Linked DNA regions of Cricetulus griseus. The protein of the gene in region 1 purifies or fractionates together with the protein of each later gene. This does not show direct contact. Links are inferred from orthologs where the notes say so. Each region holds a gene or a part of one and is shown on either strand. Other genes may lie near its edges.

The links.
Region 2: the proteins of Ubxn7 (region 1) and Ufd1 purify together in Homo sapiens (affinity purification with mass spectrometry; 3 studies listed by BioGRID and IntAct, with this or other methods). This does not show direct contact. The link is inferred for Cricetulus griseus from reciprocal best matches to the Homo sapiens genes UBXN7 and UFD1.
Region 3: the proteins of Ubxn7 (region 1) and Cul2 purify together in Homo sapiens (affinity purification with mass spectrometry; 6 studies listed by BioGRID and IntAct, with this or other methods). This does not show direct contact. The link is inferred for Cricetulus griseus from reciprocal best matches to the Homo sapiens genes UBXN7 and CUL2.
Region 4: the proteins of Ubxn7 (region 1) and Klhdc3 purify together in Homo sapiens (affinity purification with mass spectrometry; 3 studies listed by BioGRID and IntAct, with this or other methods). This does not show direct contact. The link is inferred for Cricetulus griseus from reciprocal best matches to the Homo sapiens genes UBXN7 and KLHDC3.
Region 5: the proteins of Ubxn7 (region 1) and Topors purify together in Homo sapiens (affinity purification with mass spectrometry; 4 studies listed by BioGRID and IntAct, with this or other methods). This does not show direct contact. The link is inferred for Cricetulus griseus from reciprocal best matches to the Homo sapiens genes UBXN7 and TOPORS.

Annotation. Positions count from the first base shown.
Region 1 is NC_048597.1:57,184,815-57,189,073, reverse strand, and holds part of Ubxn7 (UBX domain-containing protein 7), read left to right. Parts: intron 1-1,627; coding exon 1,628-1,775; intron 1,776-4,259. UniProt on the Homo sapiens protein: Ubiquitin-binding adapter that links a subset of NEDD8-associated cullin ring ligases (CRLs) to the segregase VCP/p97, to regulate turnover of their ubiquitination substrates.
Region 2 is NC_048597.1:70,383,399-70,388,136, reverse strand, and holds the start of Ufd1 (ubiquitin recognition factor in ER-associated degradation protein 1), read left to right. Parts: upstream 1-1,691; 5' UTR 1,692-1,846; coding exon 1,847-1,849; intron 1,850-4,297; coding exon 4,298-4,430; intron 4,431-4,738. Other genes in the region: Cdc45 (cell division control protein 45 homolog), read right to left, coding at 767-826, 975-1,025. UniProt on the Homo sapiens protein: Essential component of the ubiquitin-dependent proteolytic pathway which degrades ubiquitin fusion proteins.
Region 3 is NC_048596.1:210,660,154-210,664,412, reverse strand, and holds part of Cul2 (cullin-2), read left to right. Parts: intron 1-1,246; coding exon 1,247-1,409; intron 1,410-3,344; coding exon 3,345-3,469; intron 3,470-4,259.
Region 4 is NW_023276806.1:256,093,600-256,098,050, forward strand, and holds the end of Klhdc3 (kelch domain-containing protein 3), read right to left. Parts: intron 4,349-4,451; coding exon 4,172-4,348; intron 4,043-4,171; coding exon 3,927-4,042; intron 3,782-3,926; coding exon 3,710-3,781; intron 3,594-3,709; coding exon 3,380-3,593; intron 3,306-3,379; coding exon 3,219-3,305; intron 3,073-3,218; coding exon 2,964-3,072; intron 2,861-2,963; coding exon 2,787-2,860; intron 2,677-2,786; coding exon 2,598-2,676; intron 1,558-2,597; coding exon 1,491-1,557; 3' UTR 931-1,490; downstream 1-930. Other genes in the region: Rrp36 (ribosomal RNA processing protein 36 homolog), read right to left, coding at 601-685. UniProt on the Homo sapiens protein: Substrate-recognition component of a Cul2-RING (CRL2) E3 ubiquitin-protein ligase complex of the DesCEND (destruction via C-end degrons) pathway, which recognizes a C-degron located at the extreme C terminus of target proteins, leading to their ubiquitination and degradation.
Region 5 is NC_048595.1:102,286,009-102,290,944, forward strand, and holds the start of Topors (E3 ubiquitin-protein ligase Topors), read left to right. Parts: upstream 1-1,526; 5' UTR 1,527-1,638; coding exon of another isoform or gene 1,639-1,681; coding exon 1,682-1,684; exon of another isoform or gene 1,685-1,830; intron 1,831-2,208; exon of another isoform or gene 2,209-2,702; intron 2,703-2,866; coding exon 2,867-3,064; intron 3,065-4,936. Other genes in the region: Ndufb6 (NADH dehydrogenase [ubiquinone] 1 beta subcomplex subunit 6), read left to right, coding at 504-572; Smim27 (small integral membrane protein 27), read right to left, coding at 1,201-1,323, 1,639-1,683. UniProt on the Homo sapiens protein: Functions as an E3 ubiquitin-protein ligase and as an E3 SUMO1-protein ligase. Probable tumor suppressor involved in cell growth, cell proliferation and apoptosis that regulates p53/TP53 stability through ubiquitin-dependent degradation.

The DNA.
Region 1 (4,259 bases):
GGAACTGCAGGTCAATGAGAGAAACCTTAAAAGCTCTAAAACCAACAAACTGCTATAAAAATAATTTTCTTTAAGCTGACAACTGATATCCCAGCTGTAGCAACAGAAGCCAGAAGACATTGGAATTCTGTCTTGTGTACTGAGACAAAACAGCTGTCAGCCTTGAAATGGCATGCTCAGTAAAATGCTTTCACAGTAGACATTTCAAGACAAAAATCTTAGAGCATTTGCCACCAACAGTACAGATTCCAAGGGATATAATTCAAATAAAGAAAACTCATCCCAAATAGAAAGCTCAGGGTGATTTGCAGTGGCCACATAATATTTAAATCAAATACATACTATGGTTCACATTGTACTATTATAGGATGCTTTATGTTTCAAAATTTGTTTCATTAATTGAATCTACTCTGAACATATTTCTGAACATGTTTGTGCATGTAATATTGTATGTTGATTTGATTCTAGAAGTCGGTACAACTAAGTCAAAAAAGGAATTTCTTGGTACATGTAAAATTATTTTAAGAGGGTTTTACCAATTTACATTTCACTCAACAGATTGTACTAGCTTTATTTACAAATGATTGTTTGGACCAGTTTTAAATAGCAAAGATTGACATTTTTACCAGATATTTATATCTTAGACAAAATTGTCTTGGTTACTTCTCTTGGTTTGATGTTAAAATGTGTTCTGAGTTTGAGTTCTAGCCCAGCCCCTCCTCAAAAACTTTTGAATAGATAAAATATTAATTGAGTTGCATTTTCTTCAACAGAAAATATTTCTAACTTTCTAGAATGCAGTCTTTAATTTTTCTTTATCCTATTTTTTAGTTTATCATTACTAACAAAAAAATATACTTACCCTGTTATGGTTTTGTTTTGATTTTGAGACAGGGTACTACTATTTGAACTCAGAGATCCACCTGCCCCTGAGCCCCAGGTGCTTGTATATACCACCACACTAGATAATTCAGCCTTGTAAAAAAATTGCAAATGGAGCTAAGGAGATGCAAGCATGAGAATTTGAGTTCAAATCCCCAGAATCTATGTAAAGGCAGTGACCGTAGCACACATCCCAGTGCTCCTTCTTCCTACGTTGAGATGAGAGGCTAGAGAATCTCCTGGAAGCTTCTTAGGTAGTTTGCCTAACATGGGTAGTGGTGTGTAAGAGACTCTCTGTCTGACAAGGTATAAGCAAGGAACACTACCAGGCATTGTCCTTTGACCTCTGTGCATGTACACTCACATGCACACACATACATGCAAAGAAGTGATAAATAGTCAGGCATGGTGGCAGTGGCTCATTCTTGTAAGCTAAGAGGCTAAGGCAGAGGATTTCTGAGCTGAACACTTGGCTGAGCTATAGTGTGAGACCTGTCTTAAACAAAAAACCACAACATATTTAAAAAAAAAAGAAAAAGAAAAAAATGATTGTACTGCTGTGATACTGTCGTGCTATTTTCTACCTCTGTGTTTATACCAACCAGCCAACAGGACAAAAGTAAACAAATATGTTTTTGTACAAGTCATTTTAAAGGGGGAAGGACTGTTAATCTGCTTGGGAATTGCATGTTTTAATGTGAGCTTGACTGTAAGATGTCATTTTTAACTGTCTTTTCTATTTCAGGCGCAAGTGAAAGTGTAGGAAAACATATGCTTGAAGCTTGTAACAACAACCTGGAGATGGCGGTCACTATGTTTTTGGATGGTGGAGGAATTGCTGAGGAGCCCAGTACCAGTTCAGCAAGTGTTTCTGCTGTCAGACCACACACAGAGTATGAATTTATTATTTATTGTAGCAGTTACTCTTTGCCTAAATTGCATTTTTATCAAAGTTAGGTTAATTTTCTAGCTTTGAAAAACATTTAAGGTTGAAAGAATCTGAAAAATAGTGGAAATTTTTGTATTTGCATTCTCTAGAGCATACCATCTTGTCTCTTTAATCCTCTCTCCTTTTCATTCCTCAAAAGAACTGTGCGGGTTAAAGATGGGCAGGCAGGCAGGTGACAAGAGTACAGGGTGCAACTGCTTGATTATATTTGGCCTGAGATTGAGGTTTGTGTGCTTCACAGTCACCAGCTATACAACAAAAATAATTTTGTTGGCTGAGGATTTAACTCAGTTGGTAGAGTGTCTAACATTCAAGAAGTTCTGGGTTTAAGCCCCAACCCTGAATAAACAGACTTAGTGACACATGCGTCTAAGCCTAACAGTTAGGGAGTGCCTATGGGAGAATTGGAAGGTCGAGGTCATTCCTAGCTACAGAGCAAGTTCGAAGTCATTTTGGGTTTGGGTTTTTTGTTTTTTAAGAACCTTATAGATTGGTATTATTATTTTGCATCTGAAGAAACTAGAGTATGGCCATTTTTTCTAAGCTACACAGCAGTTAAAAAGCAAATACAGTCTAATGAAGTTCATATTTCCAAATGTAAATTTTCCTATATTTTTCAGGAAAGTGAGTTATCTTGAAATGTTTTTGAAAACTAACGTTGAATGTATAGCTTAGTGGTAGAATGTGTGACTAACATACATGGGACCTGAGTTTAAGATGTAGCATCCCCCCCAAAATAAACAAACAAACAAACAAACAAATAAATAAATGTAATTGTGCATAAAAAAAAATACTAGTTTTTTAAGGGGCCGGAAAGAAGGCTCAGCAGTTAAGAGCACTGGCTACTCTTCCAGAGAACCTGAGTTCAATTCCCAGCCCCCACATGGCAGCTCATGAATGTAATTCCAGTTCTAGGGGATCTGACATCCTCACACAGAAATGCATGCTGGCAAAACACCAATGCGCAAAGTAAATAAATCATTTTTAAAAATTCTAGTCCATTCATTTTAATTACCTGCCTAATCACTAAAAGCATCACCACTGTATTTAGAACTGTATATATTTGATTTTCTAGCCCTTTATATTTTATTAGTGAGAGTTTGCAATAGATATATAACTTTTGAGCAAAATTCATCAGTCTTCGGAAAGTATTAGACTTGAAACTTGTTGGGACTACTATAGATACATGCCTCTGCACTCAGATGGCCATTGGGTTTTTTTTGGAGATACCATTGCTCTGTGGCCTAGGCTGGCCTTGACTTCAGATCTGTTTATATATTAGGATCTCAGGTGTGCCCACAATTCCCGGCTAAGAATTGATTTTAACAACAACAATAAAAAGCTTTAAAGGGGGCAGGGCGTAGTATTGAAGTTCCATCACTCAGGAGGCAGAGGCCGGCAAGATCTATATGAGTTCCAGGCCAGCCTGGTCTATATAGTGAGAAAAACAAAACAAAAAAAACCCTTAATTTAAAAGTTCTTAAGTAAGACTCTAATACTTTTAATCTTTTGTAATTCTCATAGTTTATAATAAGAGAAACTAAATATGGAATCATTTTAAATACAACAGGCAAAGGGCCAGAGTTTTATTTTTATTAAGTCAGACATAATTTAAGAACCAGGTCACATACAAATATAATTGTTCCTTTGTTGAGTTAAGTTCAGATTAATGGAATATTGTTTCTACATGAGTTAGGAACTTTAGAAATCATATTAATAGCTTACAAAGTTGTTGCTTGTTTGTTTTTGTTTTCTGATAACCATTCTGATAACCACCTCAAGTGTGATCCCATTCCCCAACATGGCTCAGAGGTGTTTTTTTTGTTTTTTTTGTTTTTTTTTTGGCTTTTCAAGGGGTTTCTCTGTGGCTTTGGAGGCTGTCCTGGAACTAGCTCTTGTAGACCAGGCTGGTCTCGAACTCACAGAGATCCTCTGCCTCTGCCTCCCAAGTGCTGTGATTAAAGGTGTGCGCCACCAACGCCCCGCTATGGCTCAGAGTTTTAATGGAAATCAATATTGATCCAGCTGATATGTTATGCCCCTTTAATTACAGCACTCTGGAGGTGGACCAGTGGATCTCTGTTAATTCCTAGGCCATTCTTGTCTACATGGCACATTCCAGACTAGTCTGTTCTAATAAATAAATAAACAAACAAATAAAATTGAAAAATGATTTAGTTGATAGGAACTTCAATAGTAGATATTTGCAGTTGATTTGGGGGAGCATATATATGTAGACACACACACACACACACACACACACACACACACACACGCTTGCTTATTTCCTTGATTGCTTGTTTATTTATTTTTGGGGAGCATATATATGTATACACGCACGCACGCACGCACGCACGCACGCACGCACGCACGCACGCACGCTTATTTCCTTGATTGCTCTTGATTGCTTGTTTATTTATTTTTGGTT
Region 2 (4,738 bases), about 13 Mb from region 1:
AACTTACCTTGAATCACCAGAAACAAGCTAACAAATTAGCTGAGCTGAGAGATGAAGATCTATGTGATATGCTGTTTGGTAGGAGCTGGGCAGTGGTGGCGCGCACTAATTCCAGCATTTGAGAGGCAGAGGCATGCAGATCTTTGAATTCGAGGCCAGCCCGATCTACAGAGCTAGTTCCAGGATAGCAAGGGTTACACAGAGAAACCCTGTCAGAAACAACAAACAAACAAACAAACAAAAATAGGAGAAGCCAGGAGGCAGGGATGTAAGTGTTCAGTGTACAGTTCTGCCAAATCTGTCAAATTTTGCCAAAGTCAAACACTAAGGGGGAAAGTAACTTTAATTACAGGTGTTCTGAAAAGTTCCTGACCCCCACTTATTGTAAAAAACCACAGTATAGTTAAAGCCCCAACTAATGATCCTCTCTAACAGACTCCTGTATTTCCAGCACTCACTATGATGCCACTCCCAACTATCACAGTCCTCTCTCAAATTCCATCTTTGATAGTCATTTATAGGTTCAAAGATTTCAGGAGTGAAACCATTTTCAAGTGAGTTTTTGTAAACAAACAAACAAACAAACAAAAACACCACTTGTCTCCCAGTATAGTTCAGAGAGGGACCGTTGGGCCCCTCTTTGGGTCACCAGCTCCTCAGCTCTCTCTGGTCCCTCCCTTTCTGCGCCCCACCCTCCTGCTGGGGCCAACCCTGTTCCCTCACCTCTTGCCCCCTGCCCTGTCTTCCTAAGGTATCCAAAGCTCACCTGAAGGATCTTGCAAGCACACAAGGCATCCACATCCGAGGCCACAAAGAGAAGGACCCTCTGTTGGAGGAAATGCAGACAGGTGAGTTGAGCACAGGCACTTCAAACTCTGTGGCAACACCCGGTCCTGCTGGCCCATTCACGGACACTCGCCCTCATCCCTTCCCCTCAAATAAGGTTTGGACCAGGATGGTGGAATGGGAGTCACCTGATTGTGGACCAGCTCGTAGAACTCCTTGCGGAAATCGGACACGAACATAGCCACTGCGGCCGGATACCCAGAGCTGGCGCTGAGACACCGGTAGCCGGGGAGGTGGTGAATACTCCCGCCAAATCACGGCTCTTCCAATTGGCCCGCGCCAGCAGCCAATAGTTCTTAGCCTTTCCTTCTTTCTGATTGGGTCCTATTGGGGACAGCCAATAAAGCTCTGCTATTCGCCGCTGGAGAAATCCCGCCCCCGCCCCACCCCCCCAAAGAAGCATCATCTTGAGTCAGGCTGCGAACCTTGTTACTGTCTTTGACTTCCAGTTACCCAAAACCCCCTACGCTCGGCGGACATCTTTACTTCGGGAAGAAAAGCCTACCATCTCATCCTGGGATACTCAGGAAAATACACTCCTAGACATAGTAAATTCAGTTACATATCGTTTGAGGACGGCAATTACGTTTTCAAGGCACTATAGCACGTACTTCCGCCCGAGTCCGTAATGGCTGAAGCCAAAGCCGGAAGCTCTAGCTGCATTCTGGGTATTGTAGTCAATAACAAGAATGGAGCCTACCAAGTTTGTTCGGGAGGGAATCTAAGCATCAGGAATAGTCGCTGTCCTGTGAAATAAGTGATCAAGTGTTTTAGTGTTTTCTTTGACTACTTTTCAAAGTTCAGGCATCTCCGTGATTTTCTGCTTTTCTCTGGTGACGCTAGGCCTCGGGACGCTCCCTGCGGTATCTCTCTCGTCACTTCCGGCGAGCCTCTCGCGGGTTCTGGGTTTCAGAGCGGCGGCCGCGGTTGTGTAGAGGGAGCTCTGGGTTTCTATTGTAAGGTTCACGAAGAGAAGCGGCGTCACCAAGTACTGTCAGTCATGGTAAGCTGGCTGGGAATCGGGAGCCGGGGGAGGCCAGTGCTGCCTGCGGCGCTCGGCGGGGAGGGCCTGGACCTGGCGGCGGAGGTGCCGAGTCACCCGGGCCTGCCTCCGGCCCGCTCCGCCGTCCCAAGCGCTTATGTTCAAAGTGGGATCCGTAGTTACAAGCCGGCTGTTTGCCTCTTGGCTTGTCGGAGTCATGACTTGTAGGCTTCTCGGCGGGACTGCAGCCCTTGAAGATAGAAAGGAACCTGCTACTTTGTGTCCATAGTTCTCCTAATATCTCGACACGCAACAGGTTTCCATGAACTCAAAGTTAACTGGAGCGTTCCTGGGGAGTGGCGCGAGGGAGGAAAATCCGAAGGACATTAAGCTTTGCCTAAGTTCCGTGGCCTTTTATGCAGTAGAGATTATGTCTTAGGATATATGTCACATTGTGTTCATCACGTTGTGATAACGACAGTAGGTGATATATTGGGCGCTTTTTTTTTCTTTTTCTTTTTCTTTATCCTGTCAGCACCCTTGTTTAATTCCTGCAGTCCTCTAGGAACGTAGGTAGTTATTATAGGAACCGAGAGATCTAAAACTTACAGGGTTAGTAATCACGAAAATGGAGGCCCTGAGATTTGGAGTCACACCCATCGGGCTGCAGCGGTGTTTCATTGCTACTGCATGTGATGTCGACTCCATGTCACAAGTTTGTTAAAAACAAGAAGTGGTTATTAGATTTTACTCAGAGTGTCACTGTTTAATCTTTTGTTTGTTTGTTTGCCTTTCGAGACTGGGTTTCTCTGTAGCTTTGGAGGCTGTTCTGGAATTCGCTCTGTAGACCAAGCTGGCCTCCAAATCTGAGATCTGCCTGCCTCTGCCTCCCGAGTTCTGGGATTAAAGGCGAGTGCCACCACCGCCCGGCTAAACCAAATTTCTAAGTTCATTTATGTAACCAGCACTCAGTGCTTGATGTGTTAGACATCAAAGCTTTAAACATGGACGATAGGAGCAGTAAAGGAGGAGCAGAAGATCATGTTGGAGGGATATTGCTAGGTTGCTGCATTCTCTATGTATGTTTTTATGTTTCAGACAGAATCAAGAGTGGCATAGGGAAGGAGCTTTGTTCATTCAAAATGGGTTTTGTGGGTTATGCACCTAAGACAGAGTCAAACAGTTCTGGTGCTTAGAGAAAAAGATAAAAGATTGAAAATGTCTGTGCTTGTAACCGAAGAACCATCCTTTAAGATGTTTTGGTGGGAATGTGTGTGTGCCTAACACATCAAGTACTCAGTGCTAGTTACATAAATGAACTTAGAAATTTGATTTAGCCAGACGGTGGTGGCACACACCTTTAATCCCAGCACTCGGGAGGCAGAGGCAGGCAGATCTCAGAGATGGGAGGGTTGTTACGTTTGAGTCTGTATCTGCATGAGAGGTCAGCAGACTATCTTGGGTGCAGTCTCTCATGTCTTGACTTTGCTTGCTGGTTTGAGAACACAGTCTGTTCTGTACTGTGAGCATCCCAGAGAAGCACCAACCCTGACTCATGGCCAAGAAAGGGGGGTTTGCTGGAGAAACAAAGGGATTGCTGTAAAGAGCCAGATGAAGCCTGGCATACACAAGCATACATTGACAAACTGCTTTTCTAGCACCTGGAATGTTTTCCTGCCCAGTTGACTTGTGACATGTAGGCCTCTAATGAGGATGTCCTCTTGAACACTTGCTTAACATCCATTCTCAGGTGCTTTCTGTCCCCATTCCTACTTCTTGTCTTTAAACCCCCAGACATATGTGTTCTGTTGTTATCCTCCTTGTCTTTAACATGAGATTCACCAGGGCAGAGGTGGTATCTGCCTTCTTAGTACCCAAACATTACTAAAGTGATGTTCCTTAAAGCCCACATCAGAGCTGTGCAAATAGTAGGCACTCAGAAAAAGAGGTGATGTTCTAAGTTAAGGGTGGAGGGGGGAAAAAAGGCTCCAGATAGTTACAAGCCCAGCAGGAATGTGCCAAGTTAGGAGATGGTAGGTGGTTGGTAATGAGTTTCTGTGAGGTATGTGTAAGGTCCAGCCTTGATCTGAGAATAGGGAATAGTAGCAAAAAGATGGGAAGGGAAGGCCTGGTATGACTAAATCTTACTTTAGTAAAGTTGCAGTGTCTACAGATAATGGAAACTGGACCTGAGGGATGAGATGGGGAGAAAAAAGGATTTGAGGTTCATGTGCTGCCAGAACACTCTGGTTAATGGGATTTTAATGATTACATTCTTTGGCCACATTTATCAGCACTGATAAATGCTTAGTCTTTGGTCTGGAGAAATATACCTTTGAGCTAGATACAGTGGCTGCACTGTAGTCCCAGTTATGTGGGAGGCTAAGTCACAATCCTCATCTTTTTTGTTTTGTTTTTTAACTACCTTTGTTTGATTTGATAATAATACCATTTCTTTCTTCCTTCTAGTTTTCTTTCAACATGTTTGACCACCCAATTCCCCGGGTCTTCCAGAACCGCTTCTCTACGCAGTATCGCTGCTTCTCCGTGTCTATGCTAGCAGGGCCTAATGACAGGTCAGATGTGGAGAAAGGAGGGAAGAGTATGTGCTTGTTTTTATTTTGAATAGTAACCTTTCCTGCCCTAAAGTCTATGAATGAAATGAGCCTTGTAGTCTTCTATAGCCCTTATTTTGCATGTGGGCATCAAACACTAGCATTGTAGTAAAAATGTCACTCATCCTAGGGCATGGATGGTGGGAGCAGGGTGCTAATTATGTTTGATGACCAAGTGCCATTCAGAGCACAAAAGTAAATAACAAGTAAGATTCTTTATGAAAAGTATTATGAAATTCTGGTTACCCTAAAACCACTGTTTAAAGCTTTTAAAAAATGCATCAGAAAGTAGACA
Region 3 (4,259 bases), on another chromosome or scaffold:
CCTATTAATAGTTTCATGGTAATAAGAAAGAGTGATAGAGTCATTATAAAGAAACATGAGAATTTTACCTAGATTTTTTTAAGTTTTGGTTTCTTGATATTTTGAAACAGTCTTCCTCAACCTTCATGTCCTAGCAGTCCTCCTGCCTTCACCCCCTAAGTCCTGGGATTACAGATGTGCATCTCTGTGTCTGGTTTAACCAGCTTTTGGTTTGCAGTGTTATGTTTCAAGCATTTTGGTACTGAATGATTTTTGCTAGATGGTTTAACGGGGAAGATGAAATAATGTAAGGGGACTAGCAAAACAACATAGTGATTACCTTTTAAAATCTAGAGACCTATACTAGTAGGTATCCAATAGAATAGAATCTCGTTTAGTGTTCTAATGAGATATTTCATTATATTTCCAGTGATTCCCTATCCTTATTTCCAGACAACCACCAATCTTTAAAAGCCCCATTCACATAATTCCTTGGGGTCGCTTAAGTCCAGAAACTATTTCCTTAGCTTCTAATCACAGTGGTTTCCTAGTCCACACAACTTTATATGTGTCAGCTAGCATAGTCTTCATGCCTATAATATTGTAGTTTTGTTTTGTTACAGAATTGGGCAGGTGTTTTACCATCTTCCTATCTTTACTAACTTTTTATTGAACTGCATTTTATTTGGACTTGATTTCTTTCCATACAGAATAATCTTTGATAAAAGTTCTTGGTTGACTTGTTTGACTCACTTATAAAAGTCTTTAAGCCAGGCAGTGGTGGTGCATACCTTTAATCCCAGCACTCAGGAGACAGAGGCAAGTGGATCTCTGTGAGTTCGAGACCAGCCTGGTCTATAGATCAAGTTCCAGGACAGCCAGGGCTGTTACACAGAAACCGTCTTGGGTGGGGGGGTCTTTAATGTGACAGCATGGTTTGTGTAGTTTGTTCCCATTTCATAAAATGGAAAAAAGGAAGAATCTACTTGATGTATTGATCTTTACACTTTACTCCTGTTTTGTGTTGGATTCCTGACACAGCAGGTGATTTGGGCTGATCAATGAAGATAGTTCTTGTTCAGAATGTAGTGGGGGGATGTAGGTGACAGGCAGTAACCTAAGTAGATCTTAAATGAATTATAAATTTGAGTTGAAATTGTTAAAGCTTTTCCATATACCCTGACCTGCATCCCCCTAGAGGTAGTGAGAGCTAGCTGATATTAAACTTTGTGTCGTAGTTCATAATTGTAAAAATATATTTCTGTAGGTTCTAGGTAGATTAAAAGATGAAGAAATTAGATGTCGAAAATATTTGCATCCAAGTTCATATACTAAAGTGATTCACGAGTGTCAGCAGCGTATGGTAGCAGACCACTTACAGTTCTTACATGCAGAGTGCCACAACATCATTCGGCAAGAAAGAAAGAATGGTAAGTGCACCCTGTGGACATGTGAGTGGGAATTAAATGATACATAGAAGATTTCTATCGTTTGTTACTTACTTTGCACACTCCCTGGTATAGTATATGTTCTTTTCTGACTCAATATAGTTTAGAGTTTTGGAAAAGCATTTCCAAAGTACAGTCTAAAGTAAAAAGATGAATTAGGGAAATGTGTTTATGCTTTTATATATCTCAAGCGTTACTCTGCTTAATTTGAGAATTCCTTATCTGCAATAGGAAATCAGACTATGGAAAAAGAAGTACAGAATCAGGAAGGATAGGATAAAACAGGGATGCTGAATCTAACTCAGTTTAAAGAAATACTAGCAATAAAAGGTGAAAACACTTTTTTTTTAATACTTGATGTGTAGTCAGAATAAATACAAGACTGTAGTTGTCCCAACCTGCGGGACAGTAACCTAGGGCAAGAAGTCCAGGGAGGGGAACGGGAACAAGAGACTTGAGAGAATGACCACAAGACAGTATTCTGATCAAGTGGCAAATTTTATTTTTTCCAGGCTAGCTTATATAGGCAGTAGTATGGGGTAAAGGGGAGGGCGAGAAGAGGCCAAGAGCCAGGTGGGAGTATAAACTGATGCAGCTGTATTTGCAAAGCTATCACTGAGTGCCAAAGTAATATATATGTATATTTCATGGTCCAACAAGTATGCTAGACATGGGACTCCTTCCCTATGCATACATACATGCGTGTACAAAAATGTACAAGGGAGCCAGGCATTGGTGGCCCACGCCTTTAATCACAGCACTTGGAGGCAGAGGCAGGCGGATCTATGTGAGTTAGACCAGCCTGGTCTAACAAGAGCTAGTTCCAGGACAGCCTCAGAGAAACCCTGTCTCGAAAAACCAAAAAAAAAAAAAAAGTTGCTAAGCTAACTTACAGAGTCACATGAATAATACTACAACCTTAAAACTGCCCAGGATAGGATCCAAAGCTACAAGAGATACCCTGTCTCGGGGAAAAAAAAAAAAAAAACCGTACAAGGGTCTTCATAGCAACATTCTTTGTAATGACTAGAACTAATCCACATACCCAATGATGCTTATACCAGAGACTATTACAGAAGAGAAATGAACACACTAAACCTAAACACAACACAGATGAACCTTAAATGTAAGAAACAAAAGAAATCAGACAGAAACATTGTGTAATTGTTTATGTTCATAGTTCAAGCCAGGTGAGCTCAACCTGCGGTTACTGTGGTTTGCAGAAGAGCAGTAGTGGTCAGGAGATGGCTGTAGGGCATTGCTAGATAAGGAGTATCTGTTTTTAAGCCTGAGTGTGCACATATGGGGTGTTGTACTAATTTACAGAGTCATACAGACAGTTGTCTGCATGTATATTAATATCTCAACAAGTCATTTAAGATGAAGACAGTATGCAGTAGCATTATTTCTCACTGTTCAGTGTCACAGGAACTTCTTGCTTGGTTCTCTGCTTAGAAGGATCTCACTATAAGATCACAAACCATAGCATCTTCAGGGATTTATACTACAGATATTCTTCCCCAAGTTATTAATCACAACATCAATCATTTCCCAGTAATTGTAACAAAGCTGTGAAATACATGGAATTGCTTTATGTACTAGTATAAGATACTTGTAAGTTTAGATAGCCTGAAGTTGCTAATAGCACATACAATGCACAATAGTACTTGAGTCAAAGGAAAGAAGGGGAAGAAATATGTGTATTTTCTTGAATTTTCCTCCGTCATCATTAAATAGTAAAGAACAACAGCATTGCTTTCTTGTGGAGAGGGAGGTAAGGTGACTGGGAAGTGAGAGTGTATGTTTGTGTTAAAGTGGGGCGTGCCTTTTATCCACACATTCCTTTTAACTTCTCCATTTTAAAGCATGCATTACGTAATAAGGTTGAGAACTTAATAAACGCTCTTTTTCTCTCAGACATGGCAAATATGTACGTCTTGCTCCGTGCTGTGTCCAGTGGCTTACCTCATATGATTCAGGAGCTGCAAAATCATATTCACGATGAGGGCCTTAGAGCAACCAGTAACCTAACTCAGGAACACGTGAGTGTATAGAAGGGTAGAGCACACTCTCTTAACCAGACATAGAGAGGTTTTCTTTTGACCTTGATGGTTTATAAAGAAGGGCTTTGTCATAAGAAACTAAGCCACTTATTTATATTCAAATGTTTTAAATCTCGAACTTAGTGAGTTCTTGGGATTACTAAATTGTGAGAAGCTGTTGAGAGCAGCTGCTTCCTAACAGTACTGATTGCCACGAGCATTTGTTAACCTTCTTGCAGTTTCTATATAATTTTGTTTCTTTGTAAGCGGCAGATTTAAAAACCTTCCCTGCCTCTAGCTGGCCCCAGTCACTCACCCTCAGCTTCCCTAATCCTCATCTTTTTGAAGAGGCTCCTACCAGCCAGTGACCATATATCATAGGTGTTATTACTGGCCATGTTCAAAATTTGTTGCTAAGTTTGCAGAGTTTTGAGTGACACTGAACAAAAACTGAGCTTCATTTCAAGGCTGAGATGTGAGAATACGAATTTATGTCACTTTCAAATTCAGTCATTTTCTTTGAGAGGGAAACTCAATTTTAAGTATATTTCGACCCTTTAGCTTGGGGGAGTTAACTCTGCCCAATTCCAGGGTCCCATTCTCCCAGTAACTGGCTGTCTAATCCTCTTCTAGCTGCCTGGTGTTGACAGGCCTGGGACTTAGGGGTATGTATGTAGGTTTATATGGTAGAGGACTTGTTAGGCCTGGTGTTGAATAGCTGTCCCATTTGATAGAAGAGGAGTCTTAGATTTTTTCTTTTACTTGCCTCATTTATTTTGTTTAATGTTCA
Region 4 (4,451 bases), on another chromosome or scaffold:
CTCCCAAATTTGGTTGCTTCTGCCTCCAGAGTGAGTGCAGCAGTGTGCTAGCCTGACCCAAACACTTTTTTTTTTTTTTTTTTTTTTGAGACAGGATTTCTCTGGGTAACCACCTTGGCTGTCCTGGAACTTGCTTGTAAACCAGGCTGGCCTTGAACTCACAGAGATCTACCTACCTCTGCCTCCCAATGCTGGGATTAAAGGTGTGCGCCATCACTGTCCGGTTCTAAATACCTTTTCTTAGAGGTAATTGGCTTTGCTGGTTAGACTATTCTTTATCTCCAAGTGCCTGCATACAGCTCAATTAGGGCCCAATTAGCTACATACCCCTACTAAACCTTCTAGGATGAAGCCTCATCCCACTTTTGAGGATCTGCCCAGACCCGGCCTGGAGGCTTATGCCTATAATCCTAGCACTTGGGAGGCTGAGGCAGAACTGCCAAGAGTTCGAAATTGGCCTGAAAACAAAAGCAAGTAACTTCCCTCAACGTCGTAACGCCGGAAGGACTGCCTCTCACCCTCCACCGAACCGCAGCGCCCAGGGTGGCCTTCCGTTCCCGCAGCAGATGCCGCGCACTCCCACCAACCCTAGGCCCTCACCCGTCGGCTGGTCGCCTGCCACGCGCCTGCTCTGCATGGCTCCGCGGGAACCCTGGGCCCCAGTCCTAGCACCAGCTTTCGGCATATTTCGTGTAGTCCGGAGGAAGGCACCACTTCCGCTTACTGATACCCAAGTCCCACCCCCTCCGGGGCCCTGAGCCAATGTGGTGAGGGCTCTGGCAGAAGCGCAGCTCTATACCAGCCAGACCTAAATCCTGGGGTGGATTAGGTACTCCGTGCCATGGGGTTTCTTCAGATGCTAGACTGCCAAGCCAGACTCTGAAGGGAGGCCCTTTACAACTCCATCGTAGCCCCCAGAAACAGGACACGTTTTGAGGTTTTACATTTTATAAAATCAGAGCTGGCTGATCTTCGGGGGTACAGCAACAGCTCAATGATGGGAGAAGCTGTCTGTTGGTCCCCACTCCCGAGGGCCGGGGTGGGGGGTGGGGGTGAGGGGTTTCATGCCAACAGCTGAGGCTCCTTTCAGCTCCCGGGCAGGTGCTCAAGCAGGGAGAGGGATGGTGACGAGGAGAGGGAAGCTCCTGAGGCTCCAACACGGCTTGTCTTCTCCCGACTCCTGTCCCTTTCCAGCACAGCCTGGCTGCCCCGCTGGCCTGGGTCAGAGCAAAGGCCCAGGAGCCGTGGAGGGAGGTGGATGGGAACAGAGCACCAAGGGAAGGGGCCCTCGGCCCAAGGGAGGAGAGTGGCCCTCCCCCCACAACTCCCCACTGAATTCACAGCACAGAAAACACCTCTAGTCCACCAACTCCACGTGGAGGTATACTGAGTCCAGGGTCCCAAGGGGCAGGCAGGTGAGACAGGCAGGGGCAATGAAGACAAGAGCAGGCTCAGGAGGGGAGGCGGCGGAACTTTCTTCCTATAAGTTCCTATCCGTGGGAGGAGACAATGGGGCGGCTGATATTGCTGTTGGTGGTCATCGCATTGAGCTCCCACCTGGAAGGCCAAAAGGGGCAGAGAGGTCAGAGGTGGTCTCTATGGCAAGCTCCGAACTCTTTAGACAAAGCTAGGAACACAGCAGCCCCTCCAATTTCCCACAGCCATCTCTGCCTTACAGCCCTTTAACCACCAGACCCCACCCACCACTCAATCCAATACCACCTACTCATGCACCTCCAAGAGCTTGTAGATTTCCTGTTTTTGTTTATACAGATTCCTGAATCCAAGCACCTGGATAATGTGTACCCACCTCCGTAAACATCCCAGCACACCTCTCCTGCTCTGCAGATCCAGCCCAGCAGGCTTTCTACCTCTTCCCACTAGAGCACCTATTCTTGCTATTTCTATTATCTTCAGGTCCTGATTCATATCCTGTTCTCCCTAAACTTTAGGGCCTAAAGTCTTTCCCACCCACCCCACCCAATTAAATTATGTTTAAACAATCCTATCATTCAACAAAGTCTTAGGAAGTATTCCTTACACCAAGACACTAAGACATGTACTCAGTGTTAAGGTACCTGCACCTGGGATTCATCAGGTCAAACTATAAGCTCTGTGTCACAAAGGACACACACACTTTTGCAAGTAAGAAAGAACTGGCTCAAGGAGTAGGGTTGTCTCAGAGTGGCAAGCGAGAATAAATGACACATGGAGTGACATTTGGAGCATCACTTGAACTCAATACTTGAATTCAGAGGCAAGGAACCAGGACCTTTCTCACTTCTGGAACTAAGAGGGTCCAGTTAGCTTTCCCCTTGCAGTCAGCCCTGTAATTCATTCAGCCACTCTCAACAGTCCCCAAACAAAACTGCTCGAGGAAGCAGGGTTTCTGAGCATGACTATACAACTCAAAAGGTGTTTTTCAGAGCTGACACTTGTCACATGATGGCTGCACCTTCAGCTCCCTTGTTCCTCACAAAAATTTCACCTCCAGAAAATAGAAACGTCTGTCTTCTCCGTTGAGACTGAGCTAACTAGTCACACCTGCGCAGTCACTCACCCTCAAGCAACCCCTCCTCTGCAACCACTTGCTTTACCTGATATCATGGGGCAAACAGGACTGGTCCAGGTTATACTGAATCACGGCCAGCTTGCACAGAGTTTTCAGACTAGGGCCTTTAACGGAAGAGTTAAAGGACAGTCAGAGCAAAGGACAGGTCCCACCCTGATCACCACCCAGAGACAGAGAACCTGACAGTAGGAGCACTTCAGAATTAGGTACTTACTAAAGTCCAAGATGTGTAAGTCAGAATGATCTATGAGGTCAAATTCATCTCCCAGGCCTTCCTCGGGAGAGGGGCTGTACAGACACAAAGAGGAAGAATTAAGTGGCGGAACTACCCACAAGACCCCTTACTCAGATACCTCCCCCTCTTCTGTTACCTCCCCTCTTCTCTCCTAACCTGGTACCCCCGAAGAGGACAATCTTATCACCAACAATACAGCAACACTGACGCCGGCGGGGACATGGCCCTTTCCCCTTTGGTTCAATCTTTTTCCAAGTAAAGGACCCTAAAGAGAAGTTCATAGAGGATCAACACCCGGCCTACCCAGACATCGCTACACACAGTTCACCCCAGGCCCTCACTTATTCAGGGTTACTCTTTGCCTCCCACCTCACTGTCCTTTATCCCTCCCTTAAGGGTAATGTTTTTTACCAGGATTAAACTTCCAGAGGTCATGGAAGTGCCGGTTCAGCCTTGCATTATAGCCACCAAAGATGTACAGCTCCCCATTGTAGCCAACTGGAAGGGCAAAGACATGTCAAGAGCGAATGGGATACCACAGGGAAGTTCACACGAACATAACAGACACTCACAAGCTGAATGGCTCCTGCGCCCCTCAGGCAGCACTGGAGTGTGTGGACAGTCAAGCCAGGCCTCAGTTCTGGTGTCAAAGACTCGAATTCGGTTGCAGTAAATCTCATTGTTGGAATGAAACGGCCCAAAGCGGTCAGCACGGCCCCCAAAGACATACATGTGATTGCCCAGCATGGTGGCTGAATGGAAGTCCCTCCAGCGTGCAGGGTTACCCTAGCCAAGAGCAGAGAGACGGGGAAGAGCCTCAACAGGGGCTCAAGGAGGGGAAGCTAACTGAGCTTCCTAGGATTTCAACAAAAGGTGGGGATGTGACAGAACAAAGGTCAGACCTTTGTGCAAACAAGGGTCCATGTCATAGTGCTGGTATCCAGCTTGTGGATGTCATTGGAAAAGCAGTCTGCCTGAGTGAAGAGAAAGGAAAAACAGGGGTGTCAATGGTTACTCTTTAATCCTCTACACCTTCCAATTAAAGCCTTCTGTTCCACCATGAAAATTTTCCTCTTTTCCTCTTTTTGGTATAAACCTGTAGTTTTTTTCCACACTTACCAGCTGTTCATATCCCCCAAAAATGTACATGATCTTGCCCAGGACACAGGCTGAATGTCCATCCCGGGCCCCAGGAACTGTTCCTGACACTCGGGGTGTAGACCACTTGTGAGTATCTTTGGAAAGAGGAAAGAGAATGCCGTGGGCCAGCTGACACACCCACCTTAGTTCTGGCCTTCCCTTCTCTAAGACTCCACCAACAACCCCCTCCTTAGCCCCAAGGCATCATTTGAGACCATACTCACTGACATCAAAGGCATAGAGGACGTTGCAGGCCCCTTCTGTATCATTGCGCCCACCCCAAAGGAAGACCGTGTCATCGATGAGGACGGTTGAGTGTCCATACCGCATATAGGGTACAACAGGAGGCTGCCCTCGGACAGCAGGCCTCACTGGAGGCAGCTTTGTCCAACGCAAGGACACTGTGGGCACAGTTCTGCTCAGTTATGGGAACCTCCCTCCAGGTTGCCACCTTATCCCAAACTAAACATTCTTACCCAAACCCCCTGACCACAGAGACCACCA
Region 5 (4,936 bases), on another chromosome or scaffold:
TAGCATCCAAATTGAGATTTTTAAAAAAATTATTTTTATTTTATGCACATTGGTGTTTTGCCTTCATGTATGTCTGTATGAGGGTGTCTGGTCCCCTGGAACAGGAGTTAGAGTCAGCCGTGAGCTGCCATGTGGGTGCTGGGAATTGAACCCAGGTCCTCCGGAAGAGCAGCAGTGTTTTTAACCACTGAACCATCTTTCCAGCCCCCAAATTTAAATGTTTTAAGTAAAATGGAAAATAATTTTGAAAGTTTGTTTATTTGAGATAGGGTCTCTCTATGTAGTCTTATTTGTTCTGGAACTTGCTGTATAGACCAGGCTGGCTTCAAATTTAGAGATCCACCTGCCTCTGCCTTTAGAGTACTAGGATTAAACGTGTATGCACTACCATGCCTGGCTTAATTGTGAGTTAACAAAATGTAAAGTATGCTTACAGTAATTTATTGTGTTAAATAGATGTTGAAACATTTTACAGTTTACTAAACATTTACTTGTTTTCCTAGGGTGATACAATTCTGGAGACTGGAGAAGTAATTCCGCCAATGAAAGATTTTCCTGATCAACATCATTAAAGAGCACTTAAAACTTAAAAGACTTGTGTAACAGCAAAAGTCTCTTCATATAGTTCGTATTTACTGAATCTGTTTCCTGGAAAAGTAACTAATAAAGCTTATTCTCAGAGTGTTGTTAATATTTCTTGAGACCGACAGTAAAAAAGACAAATACTAAAGAGCCATCAGCTACTTTTTTCCTGTCCGTTTTGATAAACAGGATGCAAAACACGTTTTAATCACGTGATAGGTTTGTTTACATACTGATGTGGCATGAGGTTATGAAGTGTTTGAAGCACTAGAATGAAAATCTATGATCTGGCCCTGTAGTGGTGGCACACGCCTTTAGTCCAAGCACTCAGGAGGCAGAGGCAGGCGGATCTCTGTGAGTTTGAGACCAGCTTGGTCTACAAGAGCCGGTTCCAGGATAGACTCCAAAGCTACACAGAGAAACCCTGTCTCGAAAAACAAAAAACAAACAAACAAAAAATCTATAACCTGATACAGAAAGAAAGGGCTGTTTGATCCATATGAAAAATTAGCATGCTAACGCGTATCACAAAAGACCATACACAATTTTGTATTGTGAATTTTACTTTTAAGTCTACATAGGTGCCATTTGAGGGACAAAACCAGGTTTTGCTGGGAACTACCAAAGTTCGTTCATTTCAAAGAATTTGTCTGGAAAAGCCTTCTGTAGCTGTCGTCGTGCAGCTACAGTTGATGCGTAGATGACGAATCCCCAGGAGAGCAAAACGATCACAAGTAGCAACTAAAAGAGGGGAGGAAAGGCGAAAAGAAAAATCAATGTGCTGGGTAGTTGGCCTGCTCAGGCCAGGTTACCAGCTAGCTACAGGTGGGAGCAGCCTGTCAGGCACTAGGACCCAGGCCTGAGGCCAGGGCCCGATAGCCATGACGTCAGGGGCGGAAAAGCGTGTCCTCCAGGAAGAGGCGGAGTCGGGGGCGGGGCGTAAACGCTCAATATAGGAATGGGTTTTGGAGTTCCGAGCTGTAGACGAACAGTCGGCCTTTGCCTCGCGGGCAGAGGGGTGCGGCGCCTGGGAGTTCCATCGTCCTCGCTACCTACCGCGGAGTAAATCCAGTCCAGGGTGCGGCGACTCACGGGCCTCATGGTAAGGGATCAGCAGGGGTGGGGTGGCGCGGACCTAGAGCTCGCTCCCCGAAGCCGTCCGCCCCGCTGCAGCAGCCATCTTTCCGCGGTTCCCGGCGCGCTTCCGCCCGAAGTTGGGGCGCGTCACGTGATCCGGGCCTAGCCCGCCTTTCAGGCAGCGGAGGAAATAAAAAATTTTAAAATCGCGCTTTTTTTGCGCTTAGATGGACATTCCTCAGTCCCCTTTTCCTCCAGTCGCAGTGCCTTATAGCGCAGAATAGTGTGCCATCGTGTGCATGTGAGTTTATTTGAAAATAGGCTGTTAGAATTAAAGTTGCCGTCCCATACCCGCGTCCGTTTCCACAAGATGTGGATAAACGATTATATGTGTATGCTTGGCACGAACAGTATCATCCACTCCCTTATGTAACTGGAGAATCGTTGTAAACTGTTAGTTCGGCCATTCATCGAGAACGTCTAGTAAGAATGCTGTCGCTTACTACTGGGAATGTTTTTAGATATGTGGCATTTTTAAAAATGTGTTACCCGCATGGTGGACCTGCCACTCAGCAAGTGTCGACGGGATGTTTAATCGAGTCTAGGACCTCAGCAAATGTGAAATACCAAGTCCCAAGGAGAGCAGTTTGGCAGGCGGGCAGCTCGGCCTGAGGATGCTGGCGACGTCCGCCCAGGAGCCCTGGCTGGCGGAGCCCGGACTGCGCGGCTTCGGGCGCGGATGTCAGACACGGTTTTAGTCTGGATTGCAGGGGCGGGAAGGGGAAGCAGGCCGCTAGGAGACAGGCGATGGCTGGGGAAGTGCTCGACGCCTGGTGTTCATCCCAGCTAAAGAAGACATGGGGACGAAGGCTCTGTGGGACTCGGTCCGATTCTTGTTACACTCGAGAGGATTACAGGAACTCGTCGAAGTTCGTGGGGTTTCGGTTTTTCCGCGTTATTTGGCAGCGATGAGTTCGTGCCTTTCCGCCCCCACCCCCAAACACGCGCCCCCCGTGGTGGGGGGCTGGGCAGGGTCTGGCGTCTGCCCTAGGCTCCGCCCCCTGCGGGCTCCTTCCACGGCGCACGCGCCCGGAACGTGGGGGGTGGGGCCGCCGTTTGCTGGGCGGGCTCGGAGGGGGTGGAAGGATGGGCCTCGCCTTCTCTCCGCCCCCAAACTGCCTTTGGTGATGAGCGTTCTACGTCACAGGGGTCGCAGCCGCCGCCGCCGGGGTCTCCGCTGTCTCGCGAGGAGGGAGAAGCGCCCCCTCTGGCGCCTGCTGAAGAGGGGAGGCGCCGAAGCCGCCGGGTACGCCTTCGCGGATCCTGCCGCCACCGGCCGAGCTTACTGAACCGACGGGAGCTGGCCTCCAGCGGCCCGGCCGGGCCTGCCCCCGCGTCCTCGGAGGTGAGTCCGGTTTGGCGGGACCGGGAACGGGCCTCCGAAGGCCGGGGTCGCGATGTCGCTACGACACGGGGGCACCTGTGGATCGGTGGCGGTGGGCGAAGGAGGGGAGTGTCACACAGCGCCGCCCGAGGAGCGCGAGCTTGAATGAATACTGGAAAGTGCAGTGTGTCCCAGCAGAACTGCGGCCCCTGCTAGGAAGTGTGACCTTGGCGAGTCCTCAGCCCCTGGACCCAGTCTGTGAAATGGGAGTAGCATTTCAGTTGATCCTTGTTATGTAATGTATGTCGTGTGTCTGTCTTTCCATCCATGCCAGCCGTTTTCAGGGCAAGGAAACCACTAAGACAGTGAAGTTGTGCAGTATTAAACATGTGGGCGGGCAGGGTTTGTGTGCCTTGCAACTTCATCACACATCTAGTTAGTGCAGCTTTCCTTCTGGGCTGGTAATTCTGATTTGTAGACTGGAGAGGGGCAGTGAAGAAGTAAGCACAGGGATTTAAGACTGAAACTGGAAAGCGTTTTTTGGTGGGTAAGTTTCTAGATTAAGAAACAGAGAAACAGGTGCTTAAGATTTAAGCTACTAATAGGTAGAGATTGTTGTTTGGGAGGAATTGAGGGTTTGGATTTTTAGTACATGAAATGCAAAAGGAAAAGCCGCAGTTGGCGCACTCAATCATCTTATCTGGAGTGAGTGGCTTTCACGGGGAATAGTTCTCAAGCAAACCCCTAATGCCCCATTTTGGGGCAGGGACTCTTGTAGCCAAGACTGTCCTGGAGTTCTTTTGTAGCAGAGGATGACCTTGATTTTCTGACTACTCTTGCCTTCCTCTTCCAGTGTGCTGGGAATGCAGGGTATTCCAGGGTGCCTGGTTCGGATAAATTATTTTTATACTGATATTTGAAATCTAGCTCCAGCCTTCAATCCCAGCGCTTGGGAGACAGGCAGGCTAGTCCCTGAGTTCGAGGCCAGTGTAGCTTAGAGTAAGTTCCAGGACAACAAGGGGTACACAGAGAAACCCTGTCTTGAAACCACCCCTCAAAATAAGAATTAAGTTTGGTCACTTATGTCCTATAACTTTTAGAATTGATTACTCAGACTTACAAATAGAACCCAGATGGCTTTTAACAGCCATTGTTCTTGTTTGTCTACATCTACTTGTGAATGTTATTAACCACTTTGCTTAGATACATTAGGTATATAATTGTTATTTATTACTATTGACTATTTTTGGAAACCTATCAGTTATTGATGATGGTCACTATCAAAATCAAACTTTTCCATAACTTATGCTGCTATGTTGAGTTCTTACTGTTCATCAAGCACATGAATTATATCCCTTCACATAACTTTTTTTGTCCTCTTTCAAATGAGTGCTGGTTGCCAGGCGGTGGTGGCACACACCTTAAACCCCAGCACTCGGGAGGCAGAGGCAGGCGGATCTCTGTCTACAAGAGCTAGTTCCAGGACAACCTCCAAAGCAACAGAGAAATCCTGCCTTGAAACTCATTCCCCCACCCCCACCCCCCAAAAAAAATTTAAATGACTGCTGGTATTCCATTTTAGAATTGAGAATGTTTGTCCCGGCTTGGTCTCTGGAGGAATCAAGCTAAGAAATGGTGATTCTAACATGGTGTGGTGTCACATGCCTTTAATCCCAGCACTCAGGAGGCAGGCAGATCTGAGTTGCAGGCCAGCCAGGCCTACATAATGAGACCTGTTTCTTCCCTATTCCCACCATCCTAAAAACTGTCGATTCTTGGTATTGACTGATGCTGCATTAGAGTTAGCATCGCTAAAGTACAACCAGATGGTTAAATTCTCTGTCCAGTGATAATTTAAGGAATACTGTAGAAGATAACTGTCATAGAAAGTCT